Linked DNA regions of Oreochromis niloticus. The main gene of each other region encodes a partner of the protein of the gene in region 2 in a complex. Links are inferred from orthologs where the notes say so. Each region holds a gene or a part of one and is shown on either strand. Other genes may lie near its edges. The genes, in order: cyba, ncf2 and rac2.

Region 1 (3,754 bases), on a different chromosome or scaffold from region 2:
TCGCCTCGTATAGCGGCCTACAAAGCAAGAAGATGACAAATCAACAATGACTGGCTTGTGCATGATTAAGTTAAGCATGACTGAAAGTTACTGTACTGTTACTGAAAATCAGGAAGATTATTATTACTGGTTCTTATCTTTGACTCTCACAGTAGTTTAGAGAATGTAAAAATAAACAGTGCAACCTCAAAAGCTTCAAAATCCACAAAGGTGTAGAGGAATTCAGTCACACCCCTAACTGTTCAGATTTCATAACTACACGGCCATCTTTCAACAGAGGTGCCAGTAACGAAACAACCTCTTCCTTGTTGCTATTTCCTTGTTTCCACCAACTGGCTAGTTCCTGCTTCAGTTAACAACTTTATCAAAAAGTTATTTAACTTGCTGGACAGAAGAAAAATAAATAGGTTAAAAAGCTGCAAACTTACTGCAAGGTAGATGAGGCTGGCAATGCCAAGGCAGACACATCCAAGAACAGTGGCAAGCATAAAACCTCCAGGTACACAGATACTGAGGATAAAAACAATCAAAAACAAAAACAAATGGATTTTGAAGACAAAAGACTAAAGAAAACAAGTCATAATCCTTGACTAATCGACAGTGACAGGAATGCTGTTTGGCAAAGACTGTGGCTGAGATAATGAACTCACGCAGCATGTAAAAATGCCCTGACATAGTAGTTCCTGGTGAGTGGTCCAAAGGCTTTTACACACACAGTGAAGCAGTACTGGCCCCTGAGAGAAATTAAGACACAATGATGAGCGACTTAGAACTTGTCCATTAAAGTCCAGCGCACATCCAAACGAACAGTGTTTGCTTACGTTCTCTCCACGCTCGTGCCCTTGGCCCTCTTGCTTCTGGGATACTCAAGTAGACACACAAACACCCCGGCAGCACTAGTTATCTGTCAAGGTGTTTTCTTTAAAATAATGTTCTTTATTTGCATGCAAAGTGTCACACAGACACAAAAACAGAAACAATATATCATCATCAGTAAACACAGTGCAGTAACTAAACCGGACCAAAAGAAGTCAGATAAGAATGCTCACTGAGATAAGTCTGAGAAGTGAAATTGAGATAAACACTGGTGACGCTGAGCAGGTTCAGCAGGCAAAGACAACAATGAATGAGAGGATTGTTCCTAATACAAAAGAGAATATCTCCATTATTTCATAAGAATAGCTACTGAGGGAGAAAAGAAAGTACTTTCCCATGTTGTATTTTTGCCATTATTGAATAAAAAGAAATAACGTTCTTGCATGTCAGTGTGAACATTGCTAAGCACAGCGTCGGTTAAATCCATAACACTAGAACATTTGGTCAGGTTTGATGTTAACTTGCTGCATAGTTGTGCTTAACATACTGTGTGATGCATCATAAACATTTGACGGTCATTGTATTAATAACACTTGTTCAACTACTTGTCAATAAAAACACCAATTCAGTCACTTATGAGGCAGGAACAAAATGCATTTTGACATATAATAATTTAAATAAGCCTTAGAGAGAAAGAAAATTCACCCAATGAGCTGCGAAAACACTTCCTGATGATAAAGATAGGAGAGGGATAGCTGCACTGATCGAGCAGCAATGCAATAAAAACTAAAATCACATGTTGTGTAGAGGAGGATCTCTGAGCACAAAATCTGTCAAAAAAAGCAAATGGTCATCAGCAGCTTTAGACCTAAGCTAAGAAAAGGAAACAGAGCCCACAATGGGCATGCTTGGTTGGAAAACAATGTTGCCTGGTTGATTGGCAATGACCCTCTTTCTGCAGCATTCAGATGGTGGGGTCAAAATTTGGCGTAGCAATTGAAGAATCGTTACTGTTTCAGTATAATTTGAATGTAACAGCCTTTCTGAGTATTGTTGATAAGCATATGTGTCCCTCCATGACTACACTGTAAATGCTCATTTCACTTGGGCAGTGCACTACGCAGTCTCAGACTGGTTTCTTGAACTTAAAATGGCCTCCACAATCACCACACCTCAATCCTACAGAGTCTGTTTAAGGTGTAGTGGAGGACAGATGAATCACATCACCTGTTCTATCACGTCAATACAGACTAGAATACCAAAGGCTCTAGTATTAGCTGTGTAGCCTATAATGTATTTACATGTTATAAGTATTTGAACTTCCTGTATGCATTAAATTACTGGTAAAATAAACAAAAACAAAAAACCCCAAGAACAAAAAAACCCCCACAAATAAAATCCTATTTAGCATGTTATTATTTCTACAACATAGAAAAGGCTTAATAAGCCAAAATTCAGACACAATAAAAAATACAACAGAAAATAAAGGATACACTGCATAAGCAGCAAACTGCCACCCTCTGAACTGTCCAGCAACGCCTACGATCCCTCCTGTGAGGAGAACTGAAAGAAGAAAACAGGAAGATAAGATTTAAAAAATACACTCCTGCAGACTGCACACACAGAGGTGGTAAACTGTGCTTTATTATGCTGTCAGAAATACTCTGTAAATGAACTAGACAAGAGGCTAAAAGTACCGCTCATGTAACCGAATAAGACAATAAGAAACGTGCTAAATACCCCCCCTCCATAATAATAAAGTTTTCATACTCACTTAGACCCGACGCCAAAGCCTGCTCATTAGCCCACATCGCCCACTCAATCTTCCCCATTATGTTAACCTAACAGCAGCTCTGCAGCCTCCTGGAGCTCCTCCGGCGTGGATTACCGACGGTGATAATGGTTTCTACAAGGAAGAAAAATGTATTTACGAGATTTGAGGGGTGCAGGTGGGCAGGTCAGAGGGCGAGGCTTGTTCTGCCTTAGCCAATCCCTATTTCAAGCGTCATTTCCGAAAAAATGCAGCGCTACAGCGAAAGAGGAAGAACCGAAAACTCCTGCCAGGTAACACAAGGAAAAGAAAGACCGGCTTTATCGCAAGATATACACACTCTGATTGTTGACTGTGGCGGTGATTGTTAGGTTACCGGAATTTGTCAAAGATTTTTTTTTTCTTTTCCATTATTTGCTGTCCTTTCTGCTGCTTCTTTACCAGAATTATGAGTTAATCTTTTAAAGTTCTGAGATTGAATAGATAATTATTTTCTCATCTGGATGAGAATCAGATGATGGAATGACAAAAATCATAAACAACAAATGAAATCTTGACCAAAATATATTTTATTGTGTGCCATAAAATTGACATGAATTAAATATGCACTGTTGGTCGGAAATGGTGATTAACAAGAAGAAACAAGAAAACTGTACACACAATAATTCGATCAGACAGAACAATGGGTCAGCTCTGGGCTCCAGTCTGATCTGTATTTATGACTCAGTGCATTGCTCACTGCAAGAGTTTCCACTTATTTACGACCAGAGAGTCAAGGCAGTATCAGTGTTTACCTGCAGATACACAGAAATGATTAAAGCTATGAAAGAGCACAAAGGAGTAATGATGTTAAGAAAAGAGACCAAACAGGACAGTTAAAAATTTAAAGGGAGATGTATCATCTTCTGCTGTTGTGAGGAAGGTGTCTGGTATTGCTGCGATAAAAGTTATATGCAACTAAGTCACATTGGCTTTCCTATTGCTCAGTAGAACTCGCTGCAGGAGGAAATCACATCATTTTCTTGGGAAAACCATCAGATGAAAGCAGCTGCTGAGTGGGATCCTCTACAACACACGGGCCTGGTCCAACCTTGAAGGCAATACAAGAAGATGAAACGACAGATTAATTATATGTTTCATGAGCTTTAAATTTTTACATTTATTCTT
Region 2 (3,754 bases):
TGACAAGTTGATCTAATGGTAAGGACGTGGTACTCCATGTAACTTCTTTTAAATTGTTGTACAACATTGATCCAAGGTCCATTTTGCTAGCTTACATTAGCCAACAAGAGCTAGCTACGTGTAAACACGGTCACAAAAGGCTACACTAAGCTAACGCACTAAATAATATAGCGACTCTCCGTCCACGGTGTCATATCACGCATGGCATGTTTCTTAATAATCTTCGCATTTTTTCCTTTAAATTTGCCTACGTATCATAAAGAGTCGTTGTCTGATAATGTAGCAGACCCATGTTTGTTTAACTACCGATGGGGCCAGTGCTAGTTTGGATCAGCCGGAGGGAGGCAGCGCGCAAGTCGCTCTGCTGTGATTGGTGGAGACAGTCAGCGTAGGTGGGCTCAGGCGGTAGAGAACCAACCACACAGCAAGGAAGCTGGAATAGTTTTCTTCTGAAGGTAAGGAATACATACTTTGGTAAACAACAGAAAAAAACCCCACCAATATAACTGATTTCATTTACAATACAAGTGAATTAATAAAGCTGTGCTAGAGTGCAAAGCTTGTACTAGTAGGTCACTATCGTTTTTAAAAACTTTAAGCCGGAAGTTGTAGTTTGTGCACTTGCACTGTTTCTGATAACTAAAAGACAACAAAAAAGAATACCGACTGCCTGTTTCGAAGTGTTTTTACCTGCTGTAAATCGTGATTCAATAAATAAATAAATAAACAAATAAATAAAAAACCCTATTACTTTCAGTCTTTCTTCTTATCTTATCCTTGTTTACTGACACATCATTAAGTTGTTCTTGTGTAATCACATTCCCTACACCCTGTCCGTCAACATTCCTGGAAATCTATGGCTAAACATCACACGCATGACATATGTGGTGATGGGAACGTATAACAAAATCAGATTAGCTTTATTTAAATACCACACACAAATAATGAATTGTCATGTAGATGACAGAACATCACATTGGGAAAAAAGGGACAACCCTTTAGCTTTAAGACCTGGTGGTAATGTGATATTTATATATACACCAACAATGACTTTCATCACACTTCCTCTTCTCAGTGGTACAAATCAGAGGAACTTCCTTACTGTGGTCTGTAGCTCAGTGTACTCCTAACCTGCCAACATGTCTTTTGTAGACACTCTGCGCCACTGGGATGAGGCGGTAACTTGCGTCAACAGACAAGATTTCTCCAAAGCACTTGAGATTTTCTTGGCTATTCAAGAACCAAACTCCAAAATTTTTTTTGACATTGGCTGTCTCCATCTTCTTAACCAAGACTTCGATGCTGCTGAAAAGGTATGTCTGATCTGCAGGCTGAAGCATAAACACACAAATATTAACAGCTGTCGTATCAGCACATTAGTCCAAACAAGAAACTCTTTTGAAAGTAGCTGAAATAAAATTCTCTGATATGCTGTGTGAAAGCGCAAGTCACTGAGAAAGGAGAAGTAGATCTTACCATGTTTTCTAGAGGAAGTGACTGTTTTTTTCTGTTTCTCAGGCGTTTGATTGCAGCATACGCAAGGATGAACATTTGGCCATCGCCTTCTTTCAAAGAGGAATCACTTTTTACAAAAAGAAGAGGCAAGACACACCTGCCTTTTTCCTTTTTTTTTTTTAAAAAAAGGGACCATATTATTTTTTAAGTTTAATGACGTTATTTAAAAATGCTTCATAGTATATCATATGCAAATGTTTTAACTTTTGTCTCTATGTCTCTATGTAAAGGTATGAGGAGAGTTTAGCTGACTTCCAGAAAACCTTTAAAACACTCAGGGGCAACCAGCTAATAGATTACAAAGCGCTTGGTCTCAGATACATACTATATGCTTGTGATGTGAGTATTCTTGATAACCCGCCCTATTATTAATCCTGAACACTACATCCAAATAATTCATTTGATGTTATGAGCTGTTCATTCATAATACAACTTAGCATTCGTTTTTTTTCCTGGCCAAGGACACAAGCTTAACAATGTCTCCACAGGTTCTCCACAATATGGCCCTGGTTGAAGCTCAGTTGGGTAGATGGGAAAAGGCCCAGGAGTACCTCATGAAGGCTCTTGACTACAAGACAGAGGCCAGGTTTAATATCATCGACAAAGCTCTGCAGTCAATCCTAGTCAGTTGTGATACAATCACTTTTGTGAACCCATTTAAATGTGATTACATGTATGATATCAAATGTAGTAGTTTTTCTTCATTCCATTAACCTATATTTGGTAAGCTAATATGCTTTATTCTAATTTTGCTTTAAGTCAGGTGGATATTGATATGCACGACTGCTGTATTAACCACCGGCAAATATTTTAAGTTTCACTCACAATGAAATTTCACCAACAGAAACAGAAACTTTTCAAACTGGTCGAGTTCCAATCAAAAGAGATGTTCAAACCAAATAAGCACTATGTTGCAGAGCTGGAGAAGAAAGACTACCTGGGCAAAGCAAAGGTGATCTGTTATACAGCCTGTTCTATCTAATCTAGTGTGATTATAAAGCTATCAAAAGTCAGCATCACAACATTTTATTATGTTAGGTAAAATGTCAGTCACTCATTTTATATATATATATGTACACACATACAGAACTTACACATTTGAAATTACTCAGAGAAACCAATAAGTTTATTGTTGAGTGATATCTATAAGCTACTTTCCCCCCCTCTTATCATCAGGTCGTTGCCTCTGTTGTTCCTCAAGATGAGTTCTCTGGATTTGCCCCATTGCAGCCTCAGGTGACACACTGGCTTTTATTGACAATAAAAACTTTACAGTTTGATGACAGAAACAGCAGTGCGTTCTTATCTTCTGTTACTTTATATTAAAATATGCTACCTTGGTGCCTGTTTTAAAAGCTTCCAGTGATCCACATCAACAAAATGGAAATGAACTTGTGCTGCATTATAGAGCAGCACTGCAATCCTTTACAATGTTAAGAATTACTGTTAGATTGAAACTTTACATATTCCAGTGTGTTGCCATGTCTCTGATGGACTGTGTTTTTTTTATTTGATAGGTGGAAGATGGTCCAACTTGTCCAAAAGAGCCTGTGGTTCTGAGGTATGATAGTCACTTTGGATCCATGCAGATTTGAAACTCTTTAAACAGAAATGATCTTAGTATTTAATGATGTTATAGTTGGCAAGTTTTTTTGATATGTGGATTCTCTACTATACATGTTTAGTACAAATACAAAATGGGGGAAAGCATGAGTCATATCTATGAAACTTTGCTTTCCACAAAGAGAAAATGTGACTCAAAGTGTAGATCTAATAATTAAAACCTGAAAATAGAAATGTACCGTTACACAGAATAGTGCCAACTTTAACCTTTGTGTCTTATGTCTCTTCAATTTCACATCAGTTCAGTTCAGTTTTATGTATACAGAGCTAAATCACAACAACAGTCACCTCAAGGCACTTTATATTGTAAGGTAGACCCTACAATAATACATACAGAGAAAAACCCAACAATCATATGACCCCCTATGAGCAAGCACTCTGGTGACAGTGGGAAGGAAAAACTCCCTTTTAACAGGTAGAAATTTCTGGCAGAACCAGGCTCAGGGAGGGTTGGGGTGAGAGAAGGAAGACAGGATAAAAGACATGCTGTGGAAGAGAGCCAGAGATTCATAATAAGTATGATTCAGTGCAGAGAGGTATATTAAGACATAGTAAGGGAGAAGAAGAAATACTCAATGCATCATGGGAATCCCCCAGCAGCCTACACCTATTGCAG
Region 3 (3,754 bases), on a different chromosome or scaffold from region 2:
TGAAGTTATTTTACTTTTTGCTGAAATGTACTGTGTTTATACTCGAGATAAAAATCTTTAAAACGTAATCAGAGATATGACTGATTGTCTGCTATAATGTCACATGAAGATTTGCCAGTTATTGTTGAGCCAGTGAAGATTTTAAAAGCCTTTTAAATGCTTGTGCTGTTAAACTGTAAATACCACGACTCTTGCAGCGGACTTCCCTACAACATGAAACCGACTTCCTCTTCTCCATCAGCAGTTAAGTTTAACTACTGTGCGTATGTATCTATATATACACTGTTAGCGCCTAGCAGAGGTTAAAAAATGAGAAATCAATGTGAAAATTACCACCACCATCATTAGCTTTCTGGCTGTCACATAAAAATGATACATAGACTTTCAAAAGGGCTGGCTGGGTTATTTGCAATGTATCTTTCAAATATTTCAAAAGGCAACATTTTGAAAACCTTTTCACAATATTTCCTTTTATTCATGTGGCCACAGGTGTAAAACTGGGCACATCTCCAAGCTCTTCTCAATTTTTCTTTTAAAGAGAAAGAATGACTTCCTCCTGCTTGTGTAATCCACTGAAGTGAACCGACTGCCTTTGTCTTGGTGTTGTGTTTTTAATAGAGGTGGACGAATTAATCCAAATATTGATACCAACACAGATATTGGTATCAGATTGATTCAGTGCTTTAAGTTAAGTCTGTAGTCCATTGAATCTGTTAAATAAATTATTTCTTTTGCACATAGCATAATATTCCTTAAACAACATATTAAAAAACGTCTAAACCTTTTTGTGTTGACTGCAAGTCTATTTTATTTATACCCTATAGAACATTCAAACAACAGAAGCTGACCCAAAGTGCTTTTGAGACATGAACATTAAATTCTGGGTCTCTGAAAAACCCAGTTTGAAAATTCATGAGAAACTAAAAGGTGTGTTTTGTTGTTTTATCTAATTATTGTGGAAAGTAAAAATCATTAAAATGTGTTCAGAATTTGCAAATTAATAATGTCCCTAATAATGTCTCATAAGTCGTGACGCACTGCACTTCCCTATATAAACTATTATAGGTTAAAAGTGTGAGTATTGGTATCCGCAGTACTGGCCCTGTATTTACTTGGTATCGTCATATTTGCAGTACTAGTTTGTACACAGCACTAGTTGTAAAGAAACAAGTAATAAAGGTGGAACTGAAATCTAGGTCAAGTTCTGGAGTGGAGTCAAAAGTAATGAAATAAGATCTACAAAAAGTTCAGCTTGTTTACCTCTGCAGTGCTTATTGTAGCAGCTTATATTCACGTCAGAAACTGCGACTTATTATTGCTTATTTTTTTTGCTTTACATGTTTTGTCACTTATTTTTAGTGAACTGTCTTTATTTACTTTAGGACACTTAAATTACATAAAACCTTTTTTAATGGAAGCTTTTGGTTGGCAGCTACTAAAAAACAGCTTCTTAAGAAAAATAACAATACAAGTTATTTAAACAAAACAAGAAATTTATCAAAGTATGAATATGTTGGTTAACATAAAACCTGACTACTGTTGGTTTCCTGTTGACAGCCAACAATTGATGCTTTTTTTGATTAATTATGACTGTTATTTAATTATCTATTTATTCTATATTCTGTAGTAGTCACTGTAACCATTGTCACTTGTCACTGTAACCATAACAATGAAGGTGCCTTCATAAATTCAAATATATATATATATATGTATACATTTGCTCCTTTCATAGAGTTCTCAAGCTGACGCATATTTGAACACTACAAAAAATGTTAGAGAAAACACACAATTATTTTTTTTTTTAATGTCAAATTTTAAATCATGTTTTGCATTTGTTTAAATCACTTGAACTGTTATTTTTCATGTGAGGTCTTTTTAGTAGCTGACAATCAAAGGCTTTCAATAAAAAAAAAGGTTTTATGTAAATGTTGCATGCTAAATGAAATAGAGCCAACACCACATGATTCCCTTTCCAAATATTTACACGCGTCACTGTTACGGCTTCTCTCTCTCTGCAATTTTTTAAATCAGTGTCACACACCAGGAAGCTCTGCACACACACTGCAGTACCTGTGTGCTACCTCTGGATGGTTAACTGTCTGTGTTAAAGTGTTTACTGAACTATTTTTGAGAAACAACTGTAGGACTTCCGCTTTACAATTTCCTTCACTTTGACAGCCAGCCATTTTGCCCCACCTTCAACGAAAGACGCATTTGATGGCAGACGGTGGCTCATCCAAACTTCTTACGCGAGCACATTTCACCCTTTAGGGCAAATAAATTCAACAACTTTTCAGATGTCAAAAACACAATGAGGTTAATCATTTACACATTTGAGCTTCTGCTTCTTTATTGCCTCTTCTTTTTTTAGTCATACTTTTCTCCCACTTTGTTTGTATTTTCTGAACTGATCTTTGTGGCATCTATCGGATTTTCATCTTTGAAGAGGAGTTCTGCTGCCTTAAAGCATTTTCCTGCATGTTGTGGCCTGCATGGCTCATCCAGCGCGCTCAGTGTGAATCACCGCTGTCAAACACACACCTTAAGATCTACATGTTAACACTGGACATAAAACACAAGTACAGAAGTTTCTTTTACGCTTTTACGCTGAACCGAACAGCAATCTTGCTGTAGTGGGTCAAACTGTTGCTCCTACCATGTGACAACCTTTGACAGCTCTATCTGATTACCCTGAAATTCAGAGCCTGGGGCCAATCCCCATTTACACGTCAGCTGGGCGACCACTGTGTAATTCAAAGCTTGAAGGCCTCTTTAATTTATAACACACTGGTTAAAATTAGTAAAATAATAGCATACCCATCTCCCACGACCACACATTTGATAGCCTGCATCCTGTTCCGCTCAGCTTCGTCTGTGCTCTTCACTCTGAAAGAAACAGACTCAGAGAGGAAGGCTGAGAGACGCTGAAGAGCATGCAACTACAGGAAATTGTTGCACACCTCCCTCCCCCTTCTTTTGCTGCCTCTTTTTTTCTTACTCAGCCTCTCTCCCTTCATTTTTGCACTCATCTCCTTCTTCCTGTTTTGTTTTTTTCTTCTTTCAAACAACAGACCTTAAGCTGAAAAGCTACCAATACCAATAAGACACCCATAAAAAAATTAATGTGAAGGGTGTTGAAAAGCAGTCTCGGTTGCAACAGAGAAGAAGCTGTGAAATGGCCACAAAGAGGAAGGTTCTGCTAACAATAAGAGCTTTATTTAAAACTTCCTCTACTGTTGGGCATTTACCATTCAATGCAGACCAGCATGTCCGGAACATACGGAAGCTAAAATTAATTTACCTCAAATTTCATTTTGCTATGAAAAAAAATTGAATTCCGTAAACCTCATTAATTAAAGACATGCACTCACACGCGCGGTTACATTTCCCTTGGTTTACACAACCTGACACTGACTCACATTCACTTCCTGGTGTTTTCTGCAGTATGTGTCTAATGGTGATCTTAAAACAACATTAAACCTTGTTATCACTCCTGGTGCACTCCTGATACTATGAAACACATTTATGTCCTCACAGTGTGAGTGATACAAGTAACCACCTGCAAATAAAAGTTTATTGTCGGTTAACTTCAAGTTATGTGTCTGTAAATTTAAAAGGAACAGCATGGTGGTGCAGTGGTCAGCACTATTGTGTGACAGCAATACGATCCTGGATTTAAATCCAGCTGTGGTCCCTCTGTGTGCATCCTAAATGCTGTCCTAATGTATGCATGGGCACTCCCACCTCTCCTCAC

What was found.
Region 1: ncf2 (region 2) and cyba share a complex: the UniProt entries of both Homo sapiens proteins name them as parts of the phagocyte NADPH oxidase complex. The link is inferred for Oreochromis niloticus from reciprocal best matches to the Homo sapiens genes NCF2 and CYBA.
Region 3: ncf2 (region 2) and rac2 share a complex: the UniProt entries of both Homo sapiens proteins name them as parts of the phagocyte NADPH oxidase complex. The link is inferred for Oreochromis niloticus from reciprocal best matches to the Homo sapiens genes NCF2 and RAC2.

What each region holds. Positions count from the first base shown.
Region 1 is NC_031965.2:23,060,666-23,064,419, reverse strand, and holds the start of cyba (cytochrome b-245 light chain), read right to left. Parts: upstream 2,801-3,754; 5' UTR 2,649-2,800; coding exon 2,591-2,648; intron 2,380-2,590; coding exon 2,310-2,379; intron 897-2,309; coding exon 822-896; intron 735-821; coding exon 651-734; intron 511-650; coding exon 429-510; intron 18-428; coding exon 1-17. Other genes in the region: mvda (diphosphomevalonate decarboxylase), read right to left, coding at 3,597-3,677. UniProt on the Homo sapiens protein: Subunit of NADPH oxidase complexes that is required for the NADPH oxidase activity that generates, in various cell types, superoxide from molecular oxygen utilizing NADPH as an electron donor.
Region 2 is NC_031974.2:25,538,982-25,542,735, reverse strand, and holds the start of ncf2 (neutrophil cytosol factor 2), read left to right. Parts: upstream 1-1,099; 5' UTR 1,100-1,139; coding exon 1,140-1,313; intron 1,314-1,518; coding exon 1,519-1,601; intron 1,602-1,745; coding exon 1,746-1,854; intron 1,855-2,003; coding exon 2,004-2,138; intron 2,139-2,359; coding exon 2,360-2,467; intron 2,468-2,691; coding exon 2,692-2,751; intron 2,752-3,032; coding exon 3,033-3,076; intron 3,077-3,754. Other genes in the region: garem (GRB2-associated and regulator of MAPK protein 1), read right to left, coding at 1-82. UniProt on the Homo sapiens protein: Subunit of the phagocyte NADPH oxidase complex that mediates the transfer of electrons from cytosolic NADPH to O2 to produce the superoxide anion (O2(-)).
Region 3 is NC_031971.2:8,485,861-8,489,614, reverse strand, and holds the start of rac2 (ras-related C3 botulinum toxin substrate 2), read right to left. Parts: upstream 2,973-3,754; 5' UTR 2,853-2,972; coding exon 2,818-2,852; intron 1-2,817. UniProt on the Homo sapiens protein: Plasma membrane-associated small GTPase which cycles between an active GTP-bound and inactive GDP-bound state.